4 linked regions of the Arabidopsis thaliana genome follow. The protein of the gene in region 1 interacts with the protein of each later gene in a pairwise test. Each region holds a gene or a part of one and is shown in the gene's direction. Other genes may lie near its edges.

Region 1 (4,940 bases):
TGTTGTTATACTATCTCTATCTTATACTTCTCTATTTATAGATTAACATAACAAATTGCCATAACAATTCTCTTGCCTATATAATTCTGAGCTCTATTCATCTTTTCACAACAAACCAAGTTTCAACAATCAATCATAAAAATGAGAACTAAATATTTTTCTTTGCTAGTGTTTATTATTGTCTTGGCTTCTAATGAAGTTATAGCCAAGAAACACTCTTCAACACCTAAATTAAGAAGAAGTGATTTTCCAAAAGATTTTATTTTTGGAGCTGCAACGTCAGCTTACCAAGTCGAAGGAGCTGCTCATGAAGATGGTAGAGGTCCAAGTATTTGGGATACATTCTCTGAAAAATATCCGGAGAAGATAAAAGATGGTACCAATGGATCTATTGCAAGTGATTCTTACCATCTTTACAAGGAAGATGTGGGTTTACTACATCAAATTGGTTTCGGTGCCTATAGATTCTCTATCTCGTGGTCGAGGATCTTGCCACGTGGGAATCTAAAAGGAGGTATCAACCAAGCTGGTATTGACTATTACAACAACTTGATCAATGAGCTTTTGTCTAAAGGAATTAAGCCATTCGCCACCATTTTTCATTGGGACACACCGCAAAGCCTTGAAGATGCTTACGGAGGATTCTTTGGCGCGGAGATTGTGAATGACTTCCGCGATTATGCGGATATTTGCTTCAAGAATTTTGGAGATCGAGTGAAGCATTGGATGACATTGAACGAACCATTAACAGTTGTGCAACAAGGATATGTTGCTGGTGTAATGGCTCCTGGAAGGTGTTCAAAATTCACAAACCCTAATTGCACCGCGGGAAATGGAGCTACCGAGCCTTATATTGTTGGTCACAACCTCATTCTTGCTCATGGAGAAGCAGTCAAAGTATATAGAGAAAAATATAAGGCATCTCAAAAAGGTCAAGTTGGTATCGCTTTGAACGCGGGTTGGAACTTGCCTTATACCGAATCAGCTGAAGATAGATTAGCTGCGGCACGAGCCATGGCCTTCACATTCGACTATTTCATGGAGCCGCTTGTAACCGGTAAATATCCGGTTGACATGGTCAACAACGTAAAAGACGGTCGCTTACCTACATTTACTGCAAAACAATCTAAGATGTTGAAAGGATCATATGATTTCATTGGCATCAATTATTACTCATCTTCTTACGCTAAGGATGTTCCTTGCTCAAGCGAAAACGTTACATTATTCTCTGATCCTTGTGCTAGCGTCACAGGTGAAAGAGAAGGAGTGCCTATCGGTCCAAAGGCAGCATCAGATTGGCTTTTGATATATCCAAAAGGAATTCGTGATCTCCTTCTCTATGCAAAATACAAGTTCAAGGATCCTGTCATGTATATAACAGAGAATGGTAGAGATGAAGCTAGTACCGGTAAAATCGACCTTAAAGATAGTGAGAGGATCGATTACTACGCTCAACATTTGAAGATGGTTCAAGACGCTATATCAATTGGAGCCAATGTTAAAGGATTCTTTGCGTGGTCTTTGCTAGATAATTTTGAATGGGCAACGGGCTACTCAGTCCGATTTGGACTAGTTTACGTGGATTTCAACGATGGACGTAAGAGATATCCAAAGAAATCGGCAAAATGGTTCAGAAAGTTATTGAGCGAAAAGAAAAGGAATTGATGAAACATGCATCATTACATTATATTAACCAACTAGGTTAATATATGCACGATGTGTAGTTTGTTTGAGTAACAATTTATCGTTCTGTTATAAATATTGTTTGGTTATCAAACTTGAATACTAAAATAGTGATTCAAATGTAAAAATTTTGTGGACACTATATTAAATGAAACATTTCCAATATTTCAAGTTTCAGTATTCTAGAATTGATAAATTAATTGTACTTTAAGAATCAAATATTTAAACAAATAGTTGATGAAATAACACTCTATATTGAATATTATATTAAAATAATTAAAATTATTAGTTTTTTTTGAGATATTAAAATCATGAATGCAAAATATAAAAGTTATATTATTTATTATTTTTGATTTCATAAAATGAGTATGTATTCTTTTAGAGATAAAAGAAAAAAAGAAAAAAATTGGCAAGTTCGATGCAAAACCCCTTAAATATGGGGAATCCTAAATATGGAAAACACAATAGTAATTTTATAGTATTATCCAAGTAGCAGTTGTTCGGAGGCTATCTACATGTCTCAGCCACTCGTATTATTCTCCAATCTATAAAAATTCAAATTTTCAATCTCCCTTTCTTAAGATTAAAAGTGGCAAAGTTGAGATTTTGATCGTCTTCTTCCTCTGGAAATTTCAATCGAAACTATATCTTCAGAGATGCAGAATCTGTGAAATTGTAGAAACGAATTTCACATTTTTTTTTGAAGAAATGACGACGCAGATATTTCAGTTGCCGTTAAAGTACTGTGCTTCGAGTTTTTCTTCCACCGGCCAACGGAATTACGGTGCTTCTTCTTCGCCGTCTCCGATTGTAATTTGTAAGAGTAATGGAATTTCCGATGGTCTTTGGGTGAAGCGGAGGAAGAACAATCGGAGATTTGGTAGTTTAATAGTTAAGCAGGAGAAAGGAGACGTGACGGAGATTCGAGTTCCGGTTCCGTTAACTTTGGAGCAACAAGAGAAGGAGAAACAAAATCGAGATGATGAAGAAGATGAAATCGATGAAGGAGATGTAGATCCTGAAGATCTCAAATACGTCAATGAAATCAAACGGGTTCGTGATTCCTTTGGCTGAGTGAAATTGTAGATAGTTGAATCAGATTGTACTGAAGTATTTTGTGTGTGTTTAGGTAATTGAGCTTCTTAGGAGGAATAGAGATATGATCTTCAGTGAGGTAAGCTACATTTTCATGGTTCTGTGTTGGTTTTTAGTATTGGTTTTGATTAAGCCCGAGCTTTGTGTGTGTTTGCATATTATAGGTTAAGTTGACTATTATGATTGAGGATCCAAGGGAACTGGAAAGAAGGAGGCTTCTTGGAATAGAAGATGCAGATACTCCAAGCAGAGATGATTTGGCTGAAGCCTTGGAACAGGTGATATATATTATTATCTTGAGTCTGCCATTACCTTAATAGTAAACTTAAGTGTGTTGTGTGACTGGTACATGAGCCATATAGACATCAGTTTTCTGCTGAGGGTGAAAATGAACTCATATATGGCTCAAGGAGGGTCTACAGAATGCTGTTGTAAATCAGTTGGTTACTGTTGAGTAAGAGTGTTGTACAGCTTATTACAGTCTTTACATGGAAACACTGCTCAACCAACCTTTTGTTGAGTTGCTTTCATACTTAGATCTGTCACATATCTGGTTTCAAGTAACATTGTGATGGCTAGTCTAATATATAAGCTAAGTATGCAAAACTGTTCCAAGGCGTAACTGTGCTTGTGATAGAAATCTCACTTGACAACACCAAGTTGAGCAGTTTGCTCTTTGTAGCGACATGGGGTTATTAAGTGGCATTAGTATGAAGATCCTTAAAAATGAATTGATTGCTTTACACAGGTAAATGATGGGAAAATCCCTAAAGATCGTGCAACTCTTCGGATGCTGCATGAGGAAATGATCCGTTGGCCAAATTTAGAGGTACCTCTTCTTTGTACCTCACAATTGTTTTTTGTTGCCTATTGGTGGGACTGATAGGAAGAAACTGCCTTAGGCAATATAAATCTATAATGACATCTCTCCTTAGGCAATTTAAATCCATAATCCGTAATGGTTCCTATTGATGCTAGAAACTATAATGGAAGAGATCTCTTTTCTTTTGTGTAACTCTGGTGACGGCTATATACATTTAGTTAGTTAGCTAAGCAGAACTCTGTTTTAAAGCCCTATCTTAACACCTTATCTTATTTATCTTATAAGGTTGAGGTTTCAAAGAAGCAACGAGGAAAGTCAATGTACGCTAAATCCACAGACACTGGAATAGATCCAAAAGAAGCAGCCAAGAGACTCAACGTCGAATGGGATTCAGCTGCTGCAATTGAAGAAGTCGATGTCGATGATGAACAAGGAGTAGTAACCAAAGTCGCGGTTTGTTCCCATATCACTCTCAAACACTTTCACAGCTTTGACCTGGAAATCGTTATTCTTTCACAACATTTTAAGCGTTCCGTATTTGACTTTTTGAAATCTGATTGATATTTCTCCTGCCTTTTGTTCTTAATCCGTTTGCAGGGCTATGGAGCGTTGTACTTCGTCTCAGCTTTACCAGTTATCATTGGTATCTCTGTTGTATTAATTTTGTTTTACAATTCCCTACAGTAGAGTCAAATCCATTTAGTTGTTATACACACCACCACCAATGACCCATCATTGATGTTTTGTAACTTAAGAACATGAAATGAGTTTTTCAATTATTTAATCATCTTCTTCCTTATACAACGGCTTGTGGTCTGCACAAATTCCAGGTAAAGTACTCCAAAACCTTCGGTAATATTAAAATAAATGTGGTTCGTGCGAGCATATCTATCATGATCAGATCCTGTCTCAATCTTGGGCATAGTCTCATGTCAACGATGTTAAATATTTTAAAGCTTATATTATTTGTTTATGTTTATAGTAATAAAGTCAATAACCTTTGGCTGAGACTAATACGCAGGAAACGAAAAAAAAGCTGGACGTGCATATCATGACTCAGTGTAGCTACCTTAAGCCACCAAACGTGCGGTCCATGCTTACTCTCTGTGGCTCTGTATAAGTATTCATCTTCTCTTTAGCACTAAGACTTAGCCATTTGTCAATTTCTCTTCTTACAGATCGAGATTTCAGGTCGGAAAATAAAATGGTGGCTGCAGTACTTATGCCAACTATTAGTTTCAGAGACGAAAGTGCTCGCGAGGATTGGCAAGTTCTAAGCAGAAACGATTCAAAGAAGAAGATTCTAGTCAAGCAAACGAGTATGATGCAATCCGAGAGA
Region 2 (4,294 bases), 2.1 Mb from region 1:
TCCTTACAAGCCCTCAGATGGAAGCTGGGAAGATCCTACTTACCGAGTTAGTTTGTTATACACGCTTGGCTAAACATTCCTTTACACTACAAGACATGCCAAACCCATCTGGATTTGCTTTTGCTTGTGTAAAAATCAGGAAGCCTTTGCACAAAGGTGTTTCAAACTGATTGATGAATATGCACCCGGGTTTAGCTCATCCATCATTAGCTACGACATGTTGACTCCTCCGGACCTGGAACGGGAAATTGGTCTAACAGGTATATAAAGTGAAGTACTTGGAGAAAGATCCCAAGTACATGCGACATGGCCAAACCATATTGACATGACTGCCCATTTGTATTCTGCAGGCGGAAACATCTTTCACGGTGCCATGGGATTAGACTCTCTCTTCCTGATGCGCCCTGTGAAAGGATGGTACGTGACTCCGAAGTACTCAAAACAGTCTTTACGATTTATGATTATGAAATTCAAAACTTTGTTGGACTGTGTGAAACAGGTCAAATTACAGAAGCCCTTTGAAAGGTCTCTACTTGTGTGGCAGCGGAGCTCATCCTGGAGGCGGAGTTATGGGTGCACCTGGAAGAAACGCTGCACATGTTGTTCTTCAAGACTTGAAAAGAATCTAGCGAGTATAATCTCAGACTGTGCAATGTTAACTCTCATGTGTAAGTTGTTTGTTACTGCTCTGAAAACCTCTGTCGTAGGGAGAGGCTTACAGACATGGACAATAGTTGATATCAACGAATAATAAGCCTCCACGTGTAGCTTAACCTAAATATCACTAATTCAACAAATATGGAAAGTGCCCTAAACAACAGAAGAGCCATTGTTTATTTGTCTTTGTCTTTGTCTTTGCGAAAAGAAGTAAATATCCTCATCAATGGCGGATTCACGAGATGATCTAGCTGAATCGCTACAAAATCTATTCACGAGTGTTTCATCTATGGTCAAATCCGAGCTCCAGGTGAAAATCAATCCGAAATTTTACAGATTTATTTGTTTCCACAGATCTGAAATTGAATTGGATAAAAATAGGGAACGAACAACCATCTAGATCTATTGGAGAAGATGAACCTGAGAGTTGCGTCAGAGTACGATGATATGGGTGACGTGGCAGCTGGGCTCAGAGTTTTCGCAGAACAGATGAAATCAAAAAGTGGTGGCTTGGATGAATTTGTAGGACAAATGGATGCTATCGAGAAACAAGTGTCGGAGTTTGAAGCTGTGATCTCTGTTCTAGATCGATATGTCTCTGTCCTAGAATCTAAAATCCGAGCTGAGTATCGTCATCCTCATCATCAGCGTCGCTCTAATGATTCTGTTGTTACAGACTGATGCATTGTAGCAATAATTAATTTTTATCATTACTGAGATTGTTGGAATCGAGATCTGGAATGCTATTTTGGTTTTAGTTGATATTGAAGCTAGATACGAATACGACGAATGATTTTGTCTACATTCGGTTTAAGTTTAACCAAAACTGAAATTTGCATAAATCAATCTGGAACCAAACCAAACGAAAAGCACCTAAGTTTTTTTTTTACCGCTACTCCATATATAACCATTTACCGTACTTACTAATGCATTGGTTAAGTGTTTTGTTAAACATATTAAAACCTCCTAAGCAAACAAAACCAAACCGAATTAATTTCAGTTTGAATGTAATAGCGATGGTTTTATAAAACCAAAACTTGGAACAAACTGAACTGCTCATCTTTAGTAGTAAGTAACGAATTTTCATAATCACAAATTGTGATGTATAATCATGTTATCCGTTTCAATATCAAGAAATTTAACTAGCATAGTTGGAGAGTGTTGTTAATTTTGATTAGTAGTGGACAATCCGGTTTAAGGTTTGGTTCCGGTTCGATTTTACGGTTTATATATTACTTGTTTTCTCTGTGTTTTTCTTTTGTCTAAAAACACTCTAAAGAACTTAAAGATATTCGTCTGATTGTTCTCTCTCAAATTGGCTCATCCTCTCCATTCAATTCATCCCAAGTACCAAAGCAAGCTACTTCGATCTTCCTCTTACTACTCTCGTTTCTAATTGTAAGTCTATATCAATTCCTTTTCCAAAGTTTGTGTAGATCTCAAAGTAGTAGATCGGAAGAGATCGATAAAACCAGATCGATTAATCATAGTTGCTCCCACTCTCGACTACTTAAGAGATAATCATAAAGTCTTAACCTTTAGGAATCGAAATTTATTGTGATGCTTAGATAGCGAAACCCAGTTATAGAATCATTGAATCAATTAGAAACCCCTAATTTTCCTGTGGAAATTTGCTTAAAATCAATACTTTTTTGGGTTTGTAATCTATACACTTACTCTATGATGTCCAAGTTCTTCCTTTTTTGTTACTGTAATGTAAAATCCAATACAAAGATTTGAAATTTATGTTGTTTCAGATTGTTGTTATCTTAAATGGGTTCATCTGAGAAGAGATCAAAGGATATCATGAGTGACATACCAACTTTCAGTGCAGAGAATTTGCAGAACAATTTGAAAGTCATTCAAAACAGGTCTGATTCAATACAATTCTCTCTCTTTCGTTTTCTTAAAAAGATGATGGTTCTCGGGTTTTTTGACTTGTTATCCCTCATTTTGTTCGTGTTTGCAGCCGGACGTTTCTGTCTATCATAGCTGGTGTCTTAGCAGGAATAATTGGATTCAATGGCTTGATTGGTTTTGTATTTTACTTTGTGGTGATGTTGATCACATCTGTTGGGCTCATGGCTAAGGCAGGATTCTCAGCTGACTTGTACTTTGATTCGTGGAATCGGGTTCTTTTTGACGGTTTTCTTGGTGGCCTTATGGTATATCTTCATTTCCTTTTCTTATTACATTGTTTGTTGCTTCAAGATACATGTTGTTGATCCAACCTGTTAATCTCATACTAATCGCGGTGTTGTTTTCTTTTTCGCAGTCGTTTGTGCTGTTCTGGACGTATCCTTAAACTCAATTTGGTGGTCATACTCATTTTATGATAATGTGCAAAACTAAATCAAAGGTTGATTAGCTTTATGGAAAAACATCTATGGTATGGTGTAGGTAAAAATGATTAGCTTCTTAAGAACCTGTGATTAACATAGAAATGGCCTTTTTGTTTACTTCGTGTAGAATCAAGTATATGCGCAACTCGAAAACAGCTCTCTCTATTCTCTGTTTGTCTCAGTAGGTTTCCTTAACAATGGAGTAGATTTGCGTATGACTTGGTGCACATATTCTGAGGGAACTTCTGCTCCAGATGAGGATGGTGAAACGGCACACAAGATTGAGTTCGGGTTTTGCAGCCTCTTCATCTAAACTGAATTAGATTGACAATGTTTCTCTTGTTCCCTTTTTGAACAACAGTTTATGAGTTCGTATTACCTTTTTTTGTTATTTGAGATCACATCAAACTGTGAAAACCTTTAGATTGAAAAGTTTCAAGTATTTACACTTTCTTCCAATTTCATGTGTTCACATTGTTGTTTTCTTTTTTTTTTACATTCTTGCATGTAAAATATATTCGAATATGCTTAAGATTTCAATAGAGAACATTAGAACACTCTCTGTCAAGTTTGAACTTAGCCGTCTATGTGTATTGTATAGTTCTTTTGTTGCTTCTTATGTTTATTTTCCTGTGTTGGTGTGGCTTGTCTTACCAACTCTAGTTGAGTAATAGAAAAAAGGTTGTTTGATTTCAAAAAGGAAAAACAAAATATGAATATCTCATAACTACTGAACCGTTTACTCATATCAAAATTTATAGACCATTAAAATCTAGTCATGATGATTTAATAAACTCATCATCGAGCTTTCTGTAAAACCCATCCTGAAGAGTTGGTTTCACAGATCTCGTGCATCACCTGTCACACAACACACAGAGTTTAGAGACTAAAACTACGCTTTGGTCGAAACACAAAAAAAAAGTCAAAGAGAGCTCAAGTGAAGACCTTTATATATTCGTTGTTGGTGATTTCACGTTCAAGTTTGGTCCTGCCTGCTGCAAATACCTCAGCCTTCATAAGCTTTGTTCCAGGTGGAGATCCGGTTAAGAGGCTAATGACCACTTCCCTGATGATAAAAACAAAAAAAAAAATCAGAGAAATTAGAGATTCAACCGAAATAAAGAACCAATGTGATCATGTTCCAACAAAAAATAACCTCAAAGAATCATATTCAGGATGGTCTGGAGACGATATGGAGACATAAGACCCGTGAATGTTAGTAGCCACTCCATTTATAACGTCTTCGAGCTCGCCCTGGTAAGCATCCACGGCTAGCGCCACATTCACCGCCATTC
Region 3 (5,552 bases), on another chromosome or scaffold:
AATTATTTCTTAGAAAGAGTTATGGAAGAATTAAAAGTTTTAAAAACATTTGATGCTAATCTAGTTTTTCTTTGGTGACTTTTTTTCAACCAATTTGAGATGTTTTAAATGGGGATCTGACAAGTAACTATTGTACCAGGAATACGCACCATTTCCTTTTTTTGTGCTTATAAATACATATTTATTTATTTTATTTATATAATAATTTGAAAACTTAGAAATTACACTAATTTATTAATTCTTTACTTACAAACAATTGGTTTTAGTTTTTAAAATTATCCAAGGCTGATTTCACCTAATTAAAATAACCATGACTAGATTTTAACCCGCGGACAACTTATTTTTTAAATTAGTATATATAAAAGTTTGCAAATTAAATCTATTTATTTTTATTTTATAGTTTACAATTGTTATTAAATAACGTCTTACCAAACCCGTCTCGCCAAATCCGCCCCGTAAAAAAAAACCGCGGTACACCGCTAATTTAAATATATAATTAAAAGAAATATTTTACGGGATTGCAATTGTATTTTGGTTTGTCAAACAAATATTTGTTTAAAATAGTTGCCAAAATCTAGTTCAAATTTTGGAGAAAAAAGATTTATTGGATAGATAAAGAATATATTTAGGTGGGTTTTGCTCATTTTAAGGGATTGCAATTATATTTTTGTTTGTCAAACATTTTTTGTTTTAAATAGTTGCTGAATATATTTGGAATATTTTTAGTTTATTAATCAATTTATTGCTGGAAAAAAATCAATAATTAATACTCAATGGCAGCCTAGTAAATAAGTCCCAACTCTAAGATTTATTTCACAAAATGGCTGCAAAAATGTATATATAGATGATTCATTATTTCATTTTATGCGGTAGGAGTAAAAACAACATTAACTAGCAAAAACTATAATACACACACAACAGTAACTACTCATCGAGTATGGCATTCATGGATACGAATCAAATCTCAAATCGTATAAGCCTGGCCATTATTTTATTTTACAATATTTGATAATGTGCTACCTAAATATCAAAATTTTAGAATATTCTGAAATAAAATGTCGAATTTTTGTGATAGCCTTAAATTACTACATGCTCACGTATGTAAATTTTCTATTCTTTCATAGTTAATTTTCTATTAAAATGTACAATTTCCAGTTTGATGGTATGAAGATCAACAAAGTACCATAAAAATGTATAATTTCTATTTCTTCCTAATTAATATTCTTTAAAGTGTAATTTTCCAGTTCATCCTTGTTAATTTTCTTAAATAATAAAATGTAAAACTTACAAATTTCACGGACTTTATTAACAGAAATGTAAATAATTGTAAATAAATGTAAACATACTGTGTCACAAGAAGACATGACAAAAAATAAAAACAGTAGAAATAAACTTTTTTCTGGGTGCGTGTGGTAAAACAAACATGGGGACTGATCCAATGAAGTTTATCGCAATTTCTGGAATTTCAGTCGGTGTATTAATCATCATCGCACTGATAGTGGCTTATGCCTGCTATCGTGCCCGAAAGGAAGGACCAGTCAGAGGCGACGGACGACTCACACCTATTGTAATGATGATATGATATATCACCTATTTTCGATCTTTTTCTAATAATTTATTTTATGATGCAACTTTTTAGATTACTATATACTATAGAAGAGCATATTGTAATTCTATTTTACCTATATAATAATAAATAATATTTCGGCGATTTTGTCATATGCTGGAGTGTTACATTAGATGATGACTAGTAGGGTTTTTTTTTTTATGTGAAAACAACAATCGTTGTGTCATATAACGCGAAGTGACAAACAAACAATTCGAAATATTAGCAATGTTACAAAATTCGAAATATACGCAATGTTATGGTGGTGTTGACCGAAGGGTAGTTTCGTAACTTTACATCATCGCGTGGTCGTATACGCGCCGATGAGATCACAGACGGCATTAATGGGCTCCGGAAGAAGAAACAAATGATTAATTTAAGGAATAAATTACCACTAAATTCGTTTGATTATTTCCGGAAAACAATTAACTAATAAAACTATAACTAACCTTTGTTTAATTTTTTGATTTCGCGTCTTCACTGTTGTGGATTTCTTCTGAATCTTCTGAGCTCGCTTCACCTACAAGAAGACAACAAGGATCATTTTCTCTAGGTTCGTAGATTCTCTTTCTTCTTCTTCTTCGTTTGGATCTGCTTAGTGAAGAAGATAATCTTCTGAAAAATTGTTTGTTTTTTTTCTGAAAATCTGAATACGTAATGATTTGAGCTGAATCTGAGTTAGATTCACATTTATATTCTGGATTTGTGCTATTTGATGATTTATTAGATCGATCATCTTGTTTTCTTCTTTCGCCTTTAAGTATGTTTGCTCATAGTGTTGCTCTTCCAGATTCCAGATCCTGAAGAAGGTGAAATCTTATCTGTGATCCAGTGGAAGATTGAATCAAGTAACAGATTCACTTAGTTCACTTGCGTATTGCATGCCCCTGAAGATAACATTTTGAATAATGTTGATATTGAATTATCACCTATAAGCTCTGGTTCTTGTTGCTTGTATTGGTTCTGGGTATCTACTAGTGAAGAAACCATGGCTTTTGGTTCTCCTAGGAATAATTCTATATTAGCTGCGGCTGGATTTCCTCGGAAAGTGTCTACAGTTGCAATTGCTATTGGTGGTTTGGCATCATTCTTTGTTTTCGGATTGTTGCTTCGTCTTTCGTATCCGAATAGTTCTTCAGTTGGTGGCATATTTTATGGGATAGGGAATCCTGAACAAGTTCATGTCCCTTTATCTTTGAGCAACCATACTGTCAATATCCTTCAGAAGAGTAGTGACATCAATGCGTTTGATAAAAATCTGACTTCTGATTCTAGCTCTGGCTTACCTGTTGTTGTTAGCAAAAGTATACCACCTCCAGATTTCAGTAGTGATAGGAAGTTGGAGACACCTTTGACACAAGAAAAAGAGGATTTGGTTTCTTCGGATATAACTGAAAAGACTGATGTTCAATCAGGTGAACGTGAAACCAATGTTTCCAAGGCTGAAGACACTCCAAGTGCATCATCTCCTCCAGATGATGTCTCTGAAACTGCTTCAGCAGAACCAGGTACTGTTGTTATCTTTTAAACGCTTATTTCCGTAGCTTTTGTCGTATTTGGAACATTTTGAGTTATGGTAGCTTAAATTTCAATAAACAAAGACTAAGCTAGTGTGGGAATGTTATAGAACATTTAGTTTTGCATTTCTATGGAAAGGCGTAAGTTTCTGAGAAGTTTTAAAGAAATTCAGCGGCTAAACTCTTAGCTATAGACCTACTGTAATTATTCTAGCCGAGGACTGAATATAGCAGATTAGAGTAAAAACTTGGTTAGGGAGCAGATAGTGAGTGCTGGGCTTGTAAGGTGGTCTCAGCATTTTGTTTTAGGGGTTAGAGTTTCTAGGCTTTGTGGGCATTTGGTTGAGAGTTCTACCTGTTTTGGTGAATTGGAATAAGAAGAGCAGTTTCATAGATCTGTTCTTGTCAGTTTCCCTTGCTTCTCATGATTCTAGCTGTTCGATGTTTTATATTTCTGTTATGAGTTTGTCGCTTACTCAAATCTTTGATTGCTTGTAGAGTGTGATTTGTATCAAGGTAGTTGGTTTTATGATCCTGGGGGACCTCTCTACACGAACAACTCTTGCCCTGTCCTGACGCAGATGCAGAATTGCCAGGGAAATGGAAGACCTGACAAGGGATATGAGAACTGGAGATGGAAACCGTCTCAGTGTGAGCTTCCTCGGTTTGATGCCAGAAAATTTCTTGAACTTATGAAAGGCAAGACACTGGCCTTTATAGGAGATTCAGTAGCTCGTAATCAGATGGAGTCCATGTTGTGCCTTCTTTGGCAGGCAAGTAATTCAATTTAATGGTGAAAACCGGTATAAGGGATCTATTGTGTTGCTTTATTCAGCTTCAGGAGATCGTATGTATTATATTAAAGTAGGTTTCTGTTTTCAGGTTGAAACACCAGTCAATCGTGGGAGCCGAAAGATGCAGAGATGGTATTTTAAGCAATCATCAGTAATGATTGCCCGTATTTGGTCATCTTGGCTTGTTCATCAGTTCAACGAAAAATTCGATTATGCTCCTGAAGGTGTCACAAAACTAAAGCTGGATCTTCCTGATGAGCGCATAATGGAAGCTATCCCGAAATTCGACGTGGTTGTCCTCTCATCAGGGCACTGGTTTGCAAAGCAGTCTGTCTACATATTGAAAGAAGAGATCGTGGGAGGCCAATTATGGTGGCCAGACAAATCAAAACCCATGAAAGTCAATAACGTGGATGCATTTGGAATATCAGTTGAAACAATCCTTAAGTCCATGGCTACACACCCGAACTACAGCGGTTTGACCATTGTGAGAACATTCTCACCTGATCATTACGAAGGTGGTGCTTGGAACACAGGTGGATCATGCACGGGGAAAGAAGAACCCATCCTTCCAGGGAAGCTAGTGAAAAACGGATTCACAGAGATAATGCATGAGAAGCAAGCGACAGGATATAACCAAGCCGTCGATAAAGTCGCGGAGAATTTGAAGCTAAAACTAAAGCTGATGGATATCACAGAGGCATTTGGATATCGCCATGATGGTCATCCTGGTCCATTCAGAAGTCCTGACCCTAACAAGATCACTAAACGGGGACCAGACGGACGGCCTCCACCTCAGGACTGCTTGCACTGGTGCATGCCAGGACCAGTCGATACATGGAACGAAATGGTCTTGGAGCTCATAAGGAGAGACAGGAAAAGCTCATCAACTTGACTTGGTTTGAAACTCAAAGGATGAGAGAGCATATTACACGACTTATACTATTAATCTGATTCTTGGTTACTGATAAACTCAAAGATAAACTCACTTGTAGATTTGTGCTAGGCACGGTGAGTTAGGATTAGAATTTGTTCCACTATACTTGTTGGTTCGTTTGTCCTGAGATTGAAATTTAAGATTTGGGAGTTATGAGTTCAAGTTTATTCATACTAGTCGAAATTTCATAAATTATATAAACTGGGGGGGGCGCATTTGCAAAATAGCTGAGTAATAATCGCCTATCTCACTGACTCACCCAAAGCCCGACCAAAAGCTTTTGATTCCTCAAGAGTGAAAATGGCGTCGTACACAGTCTCCTTTATCCCTTTGACGCTCTCTAATCCTCGGATCTTTGTTTCGAGACAGAATGGATCTCCCTCGTCTTCTTCTCGGATTCCTCTAACGTCTTCTCTGTTAGGTAAGAAGCTTCTGGCGACACAACCGTCGCATCGCTGCTTCGTCCCCAAGCTCCGGTGCTTGACCTCGGCCAGCACGGTCTTAAACGTCCCTATTGCGTTAGTTTTTTTATCTGACAGCTCTTTTACATCTTTATCATTTCTGGGTTTTTCCTTTCACCACGGATATTGAAGCTTAGGGTGTTAAGGTTGAATTTTTCAGGCAACCGGAGAATGGTTCTTCGGATAAGATCCCAAAGTGAGTCTCACTCCAAATTACGTATAGAATTTGTAATTGTA
Region 4 (5,992 bases), on another chromosome or scaffold:
AAAAATTTGTCTAAAGAGAGGTCGTAATAAATGAAGGTGGTTTTTTCTTCTTCTTTTTAATTTAGTTTGGTACTAATAATAATAATGAACAATTAATTGGAGATAAAGAACTTCTGGATCGTGGATTATTCAGACAAAACCATGTGTTTTATTGGTCGGAGTCGGCGCGTAAAACGCTGTTAGAAATTGGACAAAATTTGGCCATTATGGGCCGAGTTACGGTTTAGAGACTCTCTTCCGGCCCAACCGGTTCGTGGGAAAAATTCATCATATTATACATGGGATCAGCAAAACGACGTCATTTTGGCGGCGGTTTTCTCAGCGTTTCCTAATAACAGTAATATTATTATACATGGGATCAGCAAAACGACGTCATTTTTGAGTAATGTGTTGGATGCCACTTTGTTTCTTCTTGGTCCAAAAGTTTGTAAACAATCTCAACAATCTGTATCGGTGTTTTAGAGAAGTACAAACTTACATGTCAAAAGGAATCTAGTGCTCACAGCTGTGATTACTTCTTTCATTGTTGCTGTTTTGCAGTGAGGAGTAATCACTGGATATCGAGATAGGCAGCTAAATAGTCAGGATATTGTGAGGTTTCCTGCAGAACAACTTTCAATTTTTTACGGATCTGAGGATGCATTTTTGAAGCATATAGAACCGAGAACATAGATAAAGAGGTTGATCATTTTATATTTAAGGTTTTAAGCACCACTGAGAACAACATGCTATGGCTGAGGATAAGTCTGCTGAAGTCAAATAAAAGAAACCACAAAGCAGAGAAAAGAAGAAGAACTCAAAAGATTAAAGAGGTTGAGAATAGTTTTGGAAAGTTAGACTACTCGAGCTAGGAGGCGTTTTAAATTTTCATCCTATCTTGATCGATCAATAAGATTAAAAGATGAGTTCATATATTTCAAGTAGATTACAGCATTAAAAGCACACATGTCTAGGTACCTATTCTACAAAAAAAACGAAAGTAGAGGATCTAAATAAGGACAAAAAAAGAACTGGAATTTTAAGGTTTTCTTGATGTTGTGATCTGCTGTTGTTTCCTACTTGCTTTAACATCTACCGGTGGATTACACCTGATACAAAAAGAAACACTTTTTGATGTCAATTACACCTAAAACTCATCTTTGGGGATACATAAAAAAAAAGAAAAACTAGATTGTGTCTCGTATCTTCTTTACTTGTTCTGTATAGGGTTTGAGCCACTCCTTGGGATTCTTCTGAAGCTATCATTTTCTCCCTTAAGTGGCTCTTTCTTCATCTCCTTGCTTACAGGCAAATCTCTCACAGCTTGACTCGAATGTGTCATCGTTAACAGAGAACGTCCTTCTACACTATACTTGCTGCTAAAGAAAGCTACAAGTAACAGAACCAGAGCCACTGAACAGCATCTCTTCATTCTGAGTTCTCTTCTTGAAATTTCCTTTAGGACTCTTGAAACCTCTTGACTTTTTCTTGTTCTGTTTTTCTGTGAACTGAGAAAATCTTGGATGGAGATGTGTGTTAGAGAAAAGAGAGACGAGAGACTTCTAAAGCTTGTTGGTTTTATAGAATAAGATTTATGTGTGTTTGAACACATAGTTATTGGGATCTGATCACGTGATCTTACTTTGACTAATGCTATTTAATCAGATGGTGAGATACTTATCTTATTCTTAATCATTTACTTACGATGATGATGATATTCCTCAAGCATCTACATTGAAACAATGATACAATATCATATGTAGAGACAAAGATCCACATATTCACATTACCTAACTCATGTAACTGCTTTGAAACTAAGAGATGGTGGTCATGTGATTAGAGCACGTGATTTCTGCCTACTGTTATCGGGGAACTCAAAAGAGGCTGAAACTTAACTTTATTGAAATTATTTTTTAAGCATAACTTTGGAATTTGGAGGTATTAGTGTAAGTCCAATTTCAGAAAAGAAAAAATTGCAGGTAACAGCTGTTTTGTCTCACTACTAATCACTAGTTTTTTTTCTTCTTCTGCAGCTATTTTTTTTATATTTCATGAAGAGAAGGAAAAATTGATTCCAAGAACCGGCACAGATTCTTTGATGAGTGGTGGAGAATAAAGAAATAGGGAAAAGTGCATTACGCAAAATAATTATTAAATCATTGATCCTCTAATAACGAACCGGAATGGATTATACAATACCGGTCTAACTTGTGTTGAATTTTGTTCGGTTTAGATAAACCAAGCGCGAGTTAGGCTAATTCTTTCTCTCTCTACCCGCGGAGAAGGAGAAAGTGAGATTAACGAGAAACCCCAAGAGAGAAAATCTTCATCGACAAAATTCGATTCAGGTGATCAATTTCTTTCATATTTTCGCAATTATTTCTTGGATCTGATGTTATCTACTTTGGAATTTCTTCGCTGCATTATCTTTTGATTTGTTGTTCTTGTTCCTTTGCGTTTCTGGGTAAGAGCGAAGCTTGAAATTGCAATTGGAATCTCTAACAAGTTTAAGACTTTGCTTTGATACGGTTTATGTGGAAGTATCTGTGATTTTCTTATATATTTATGGAAGATATTGCAGCTGATTCGAGTTTGGTTTGCCTATCATTGTTGCAATTTTCTCGGTTCAATCAAAGGATTTTCTAGGTTGATATATAATTCCAGGGATTTCCAGATAATTTCCTTTAATTTGGTTGGAATTCGATTGAATTTTCGTTGCTTTCAATTGGTTTGCAGTGATTTGGGTGAAAAGATTTTTCCAAGCTCATGGAAATTGGGGATTTTTATTCAAAGGGTGTTTCTGGTGATCATAGAGTTGTTTGACTCAAGTTTCATTTGATCTTGTGTGTATTTGGTTGGTTTTTCTTTTCAATCAGGTCATGAAAGTATTGCATAATAGCTAGAAGTATTGTTATCTCTGTATATGTGTTGTGAGATAGTACAATTGGTAAAGTTTCCATATCAATGGCACGAAAATCAACTGCAATTTACTCGTTTCGATATATGTTTTTATGTAGTTCATATATGTAATTCAGACATAAGGGTTTTATGTAGTCCATCTCATCAGTAGGTGGACTTTCACTCATATTTGTATTTCGTTTTGTTGATAATGTTAAATGGGTGTAACAGCTGCTGCAGCTATTCACTTCGTCCATAGCACGTAGATGGCAGAAAAGGCCTGTATAAAACGTCTTCAAAAGGAATATAGAGCACTTTGCAAGGTACACTCTCTTTACTTGTTTTTCTACCTCTCTCGAGCTGGAACCAGGATTCCATATTTTTATTGCTCAACCAGTTTTCTCTGTACTTTCAAATGATGCTGTATCTATATGTGAATGTTTTCTTGGTTTTGGTTTAGAGTAAGTTTCATATTTTCTTTTGTTTCTTTGGGGGTTATTTAATATGTTCTGTTTTTGGCCTTTAGGAACCAGTCTCCCATGTTGTTGCTCGTCCTTCCCCAAATGACATTCTCGAGTGGCGTAAGCCTTCCCTATCTTTTTTTCTTAATCTTTATTCCTGCTGGCTTCCTGTAATCCTGTTGCAAGCGTTTCTATAAAGATGTTATGATAAGTATATATGATGGACATATTTGCTACACTTGTGAGTATACGTTAAACTAAGAAAAAATGGGATACTACGATCTAAGTAGACAGAAGAGGTCTCACATTACTTTGATGGAATAGTGAAGACTTATTTATCAAAGGTTTATATGTACTTACAATGCATAGATTTGATAGTTTTCTTCTCAATTGTGAAAGGCTGTCAGTGTTACTGTTAGCCTGATAGCGGTTAGGGAGTTTCAGTCTTTCTATTATTACTGCATTTAGTATGTTAAAAAGGGTAGCTTGATCTCTTACTAAAATAGAGTTAAACTATTGGATTAATCTTACAGATTATGTGCTGGAAGGCAGTGAGGGAACACCTTTTGCAGGTGAAAATCTTCTTTTGAAAGTTTCTTGTTAGTGTTGTCTTACGCAGTATCTTATTTTTGATACTAAAATTCTCTTTACCAGGTGGATTTTACTATGGAAAGATCAAGTTTCCTCCCGAGTATCCTTACAAGCCACCAGGGATTACGTATGTTCCAATGGTTCCTCCAAATTCAGTCTCAACATTACTCTTACCTCATTTTTTGTCCAGTTTTTTAATGAACCAAATCTTTTTCTGTTTGCCTCAGAATGACTACACCAAATGGTCGATTCATGACACAGAAGAAAATTTGTTTATCTATGAGTGATTGTAAGGACAATCTGCACTTTCTGTTCATTATTTCGTATCAATTAACTTGTCTAATATCGAAATAAGTTGACATGGCATTTACAGTTCATCCAGAAAGCTGGAATCCGATGTGGTCTGTATCAAGGTATAGATTCTTTCTTTACTTTTGGAAGATGACAATCGATATACCCGTTGATAACCAACTTTTTTTCATGAATGCAGCATACTTACAGGACTTCTCTCATTTATGGTAAGCTCACTGTAGGTTCTACATATTTATGGACATCTTGTTTGAAAATTCTCATATTCTTATATTGTAATGGTTTATTAGCTTAGATATGAATATTCAAAAAGGAAGTCTATTTTTTCTTTTCTGTTCTCAAGCTTTCTCTAAACGTTTTCCTTGCGGCGCAGATGGATACCAGTCCGACAACTGGAAGTGTTAACACTACTGTAATTGAGAAACAACGGTTGGCTAAGTCATCTCTCGCTTTCAATTGTAAAACGTAAGATTTTCCCATCATCAAAAAATTTCAAATTCTGGATTCATATAGAAGCTAAGTTTAGTTATCTGTGGTTAGGATAGTCATAAAAGCTGGTTAGATAACGAATATAGGAATGAATGCAGTCCTGAGATTACATGTTTTCGGTATTTCACCTGAATCCAATGTTCTTACTTGTGACAGCCCAGCATTTCGAAAGCTATTTCCAGAGTATGTAGAGAAGTACAACCAGCAGCAACTAGCTGAGCAAGCTACCACACAACTGACAACACCAGAGTCTCCTCAAAAGAGCGATACCAAAGTCGAGTCAGAGAAAACCATCGATCCAACAAAGGGAGATTCAGAAGGTGGCTTGAAGGAGAGGAAAAAGAACAATAAACAGGGATTGCCAGCGTGGATAATACTGTTGCTAGTGTCGGTTTTCGGTGTGGTAATGGCGTTGCCTCTGCTTCAACTGTGATTTCTATGCAACAAACCTCGACCTGGTTTTCGTATAATCTCTCCTTGTGTCTCTCTCTCTTCAGCATCAAGAGTAGTCTCCTTTTGTCTAGTGCTCTTCGTCTGAATTTACTCATTTAGCACCTCATGGTTTGTGCTTGTAAAAGCAGATAACATAAGTTTGGTTTCACAATTACATACATATTGTAGCTTCGTTGGAACTACTTTGTATAGTATATATGAATTGAGGATAATGGTTTGGATTTGAAAAATAGAACCGTATGGTTTTCAAATTGTACTTCTCCTAGAGCTCACAGGTTAATTTGTCAATTTATGTAAATACTCTGGTGTAGTAACTTGATGAAAACAGAAGTGACAGAGAGAATACACAGACAATAGTGAATAGAATTGTTAGGTATATTGGGCCAATTAAGCAATTGTCCCTTTAGGCCCATTGGTAAGAAAAGGAAAAAACCATACTTAATGATAAATTAAAACCGGTATGGCTGTACCGGTTCAATCTGTCTTCAACCACCGACGTTGACTTGTTACCAATCTTCTTCTTCTGCTCGAGTCCAGTCCAGTGAAAGTGATTATGTTTATGGTTAATAATGTTAACTCTATAATTTAGTGGGAAAAATGTTATTTAATACCTCAACTTACAAAAAATGGTCAAATTAACCGTGAACTCGTGAAATGGCCGTTTTAACTTTCAACAAAAAGTTGACTTCTGTTTTAACATTCAAGTTTGCGTTGACTCGGCCTAATTAACCACCGTTAAAATTCCTTCTAACAGCGTAATTGACAGACGTTACAGAACATCCGTTAAGGTGATACGACGACGTTTTGTGCTA

Evidence for each region.
Region 2: the proteins of CEST (region 1) and AT5G49540 interact in a protein complementation assay, tested with the Arabidopsis thaliana proteins (one large-scale study listed by BioGRID).
Region 3: the proteins of CEST (region 1) and TBL18 interact in a protein complementation assay, tested with the Arabidopsis thaliana proteins (one large-scale study listed by BioGRID).
Region 4: the proteins of CEST (region 1) and UBC34 interact in a protein complementation assay, tested with the Arabidopsis thaliana proteins (one large-scale study listed by BioGRID).

The regions. Positions count from the first base shown.
Region 1 is NC_003076.8:18,011,005-18,015,944, forward strand, and holds CEST (death domain associated protein), read left to right. Parts: upstream 1-2,144; 5' UTR 2,145-2,391; coding exon 2,392-2,736; intron 2,737-2,812; coding exon 2,813-2,857; intron 2,858-2,942; coding exon 2,943-3,056; intron 3,057-3,526; coding exon 3,527-3,607; intron 3,608-3,886; coding exon 3,887-4,054; intron 4,055-4,198; coding exon 4,199-4,288; 3' UTR 4,289-4,430; downstream 4,431-4,940. Other genes in the region: BGLU13 (beta glucosidase 13), read left to right, coding at 142-1,665; AT5G44660 (uncharacterized protein), read left to right, coding at 4,806-4,940. UniProt on the Arabidopsis thaliana protein: Nuclear genome-encoded factor that participates in photosystem I (PSI) biogenesis. Cooperates with the plastid genome-encoded protein PSI assembly Ycf3 in the assembly of stable PSI units in the thylakoid membrane.
Region 2 is NC_003076.8:20,103,746-20,108,039, reverse strand, and holds AT5G49540 (Rab5-interacting family protein), read left to right. Parts: upstream 1-1,761; 5' UTR 1,762-2,055; intron 2,056-2,414; 5' UTR 2,415-2,430; coding exon 2,431-2,528; intron 2,529-2,626; coding exon 2,627-2,822; intron 2,823-2,932; coding exon 2,933-2,952; coding exon of another isoform or gene 2,953-2,962; exon of another isoform or gene 2,963-3,205; coding exon 3,206-3,236; 3' UTR 3,237-3,559; downstream 3,560-4,294. Other genes in the region: AT5G49555 (FAD/NAD(P)-binding oxidoreductase family protein), read left to right, coding at 1-46, 140-260, 351-417, 500-629; BLOS2 (biogenesis of lysosome organelles complex 1 subunit-like protein), read left to right, coding at 884-967, 1,039-1,338; AT5G49530 (SIN-like family protein), read right to left, coding at 3,798-3,857, 3,945-4,065, 4,156-4,294.
Region 3 is NC_003075.7:12,967,593-12,973,144, forward strand, and holds TBL18 (TRICHOME BIREFRINGENCE-LIKE 18), read left to right. Parts: upstream 1-1,966; 5' UTR 1,967-2,159; exon of another isoform or gene 2,160-2,396; 5' UTR 2,397-2,594; coding exon 2,595-3,114; intron 3,115-3,621; coding exon 3,622-3,896; intron 3,897-4,005; coding exon 4,006-4,812; 3' UTR 4,813-5,052; downstream 5,053-5,552. Other genes in the region: AT4G25370 (Double Clp-N motif protein), read left to right, coding at 5,155-5,372, 5,476-5,511. UniProt on the Arabidopsis thaliana protein: May act as a bridging protein that binds pectin and other cell wall polysaccharides. Probably involved in maintaining esterification of pectins. May be involved in the specific O-acetylation of cell wall polymers.
Region 4 is NC_003070.9:5,916,314-5,922,305, reverse strand, and holds UBC34 (ubiquitin-conjugating enzyme 34), read left to right. Parts: upstream 1-1,963; 5' UTR 1,964-2,327; intron 2,328-2,329; exon of another isoform or gene 2,330-3,108; 5' UTR 3,109-3,143; coding exon 3,144-3,200; intron 3,201-3,403; coding exon 3,404-3,458; intron 3,459-3,871; coding exon 3,872-3,910; intron 3,911-3,992; coding exon 3,993-4,056; intron 4,057-4,156; coding exon 4,157-4,218; intron 4,219-4,284; coding exon 4,285-4,342; intron 4,343-4,419; coding exon 4,420-4,447; intron 4,448-4,611; coding exon 4,612-4,703; intron 4,704-4,883; coding exon 4,884-5,160; 3' UTR 5,161-5,474; downstream 5,475-5,992. Other genes in the region: AT1G17285 (uncharacterized protein), read right to left, coding at 1,019-1,088, 1,194-1,591. UniProt on the Arabidopsis thaliana protein: Accepts the ubiquitin from the E1 complex and catalyzes its covalent attachment to other proteins.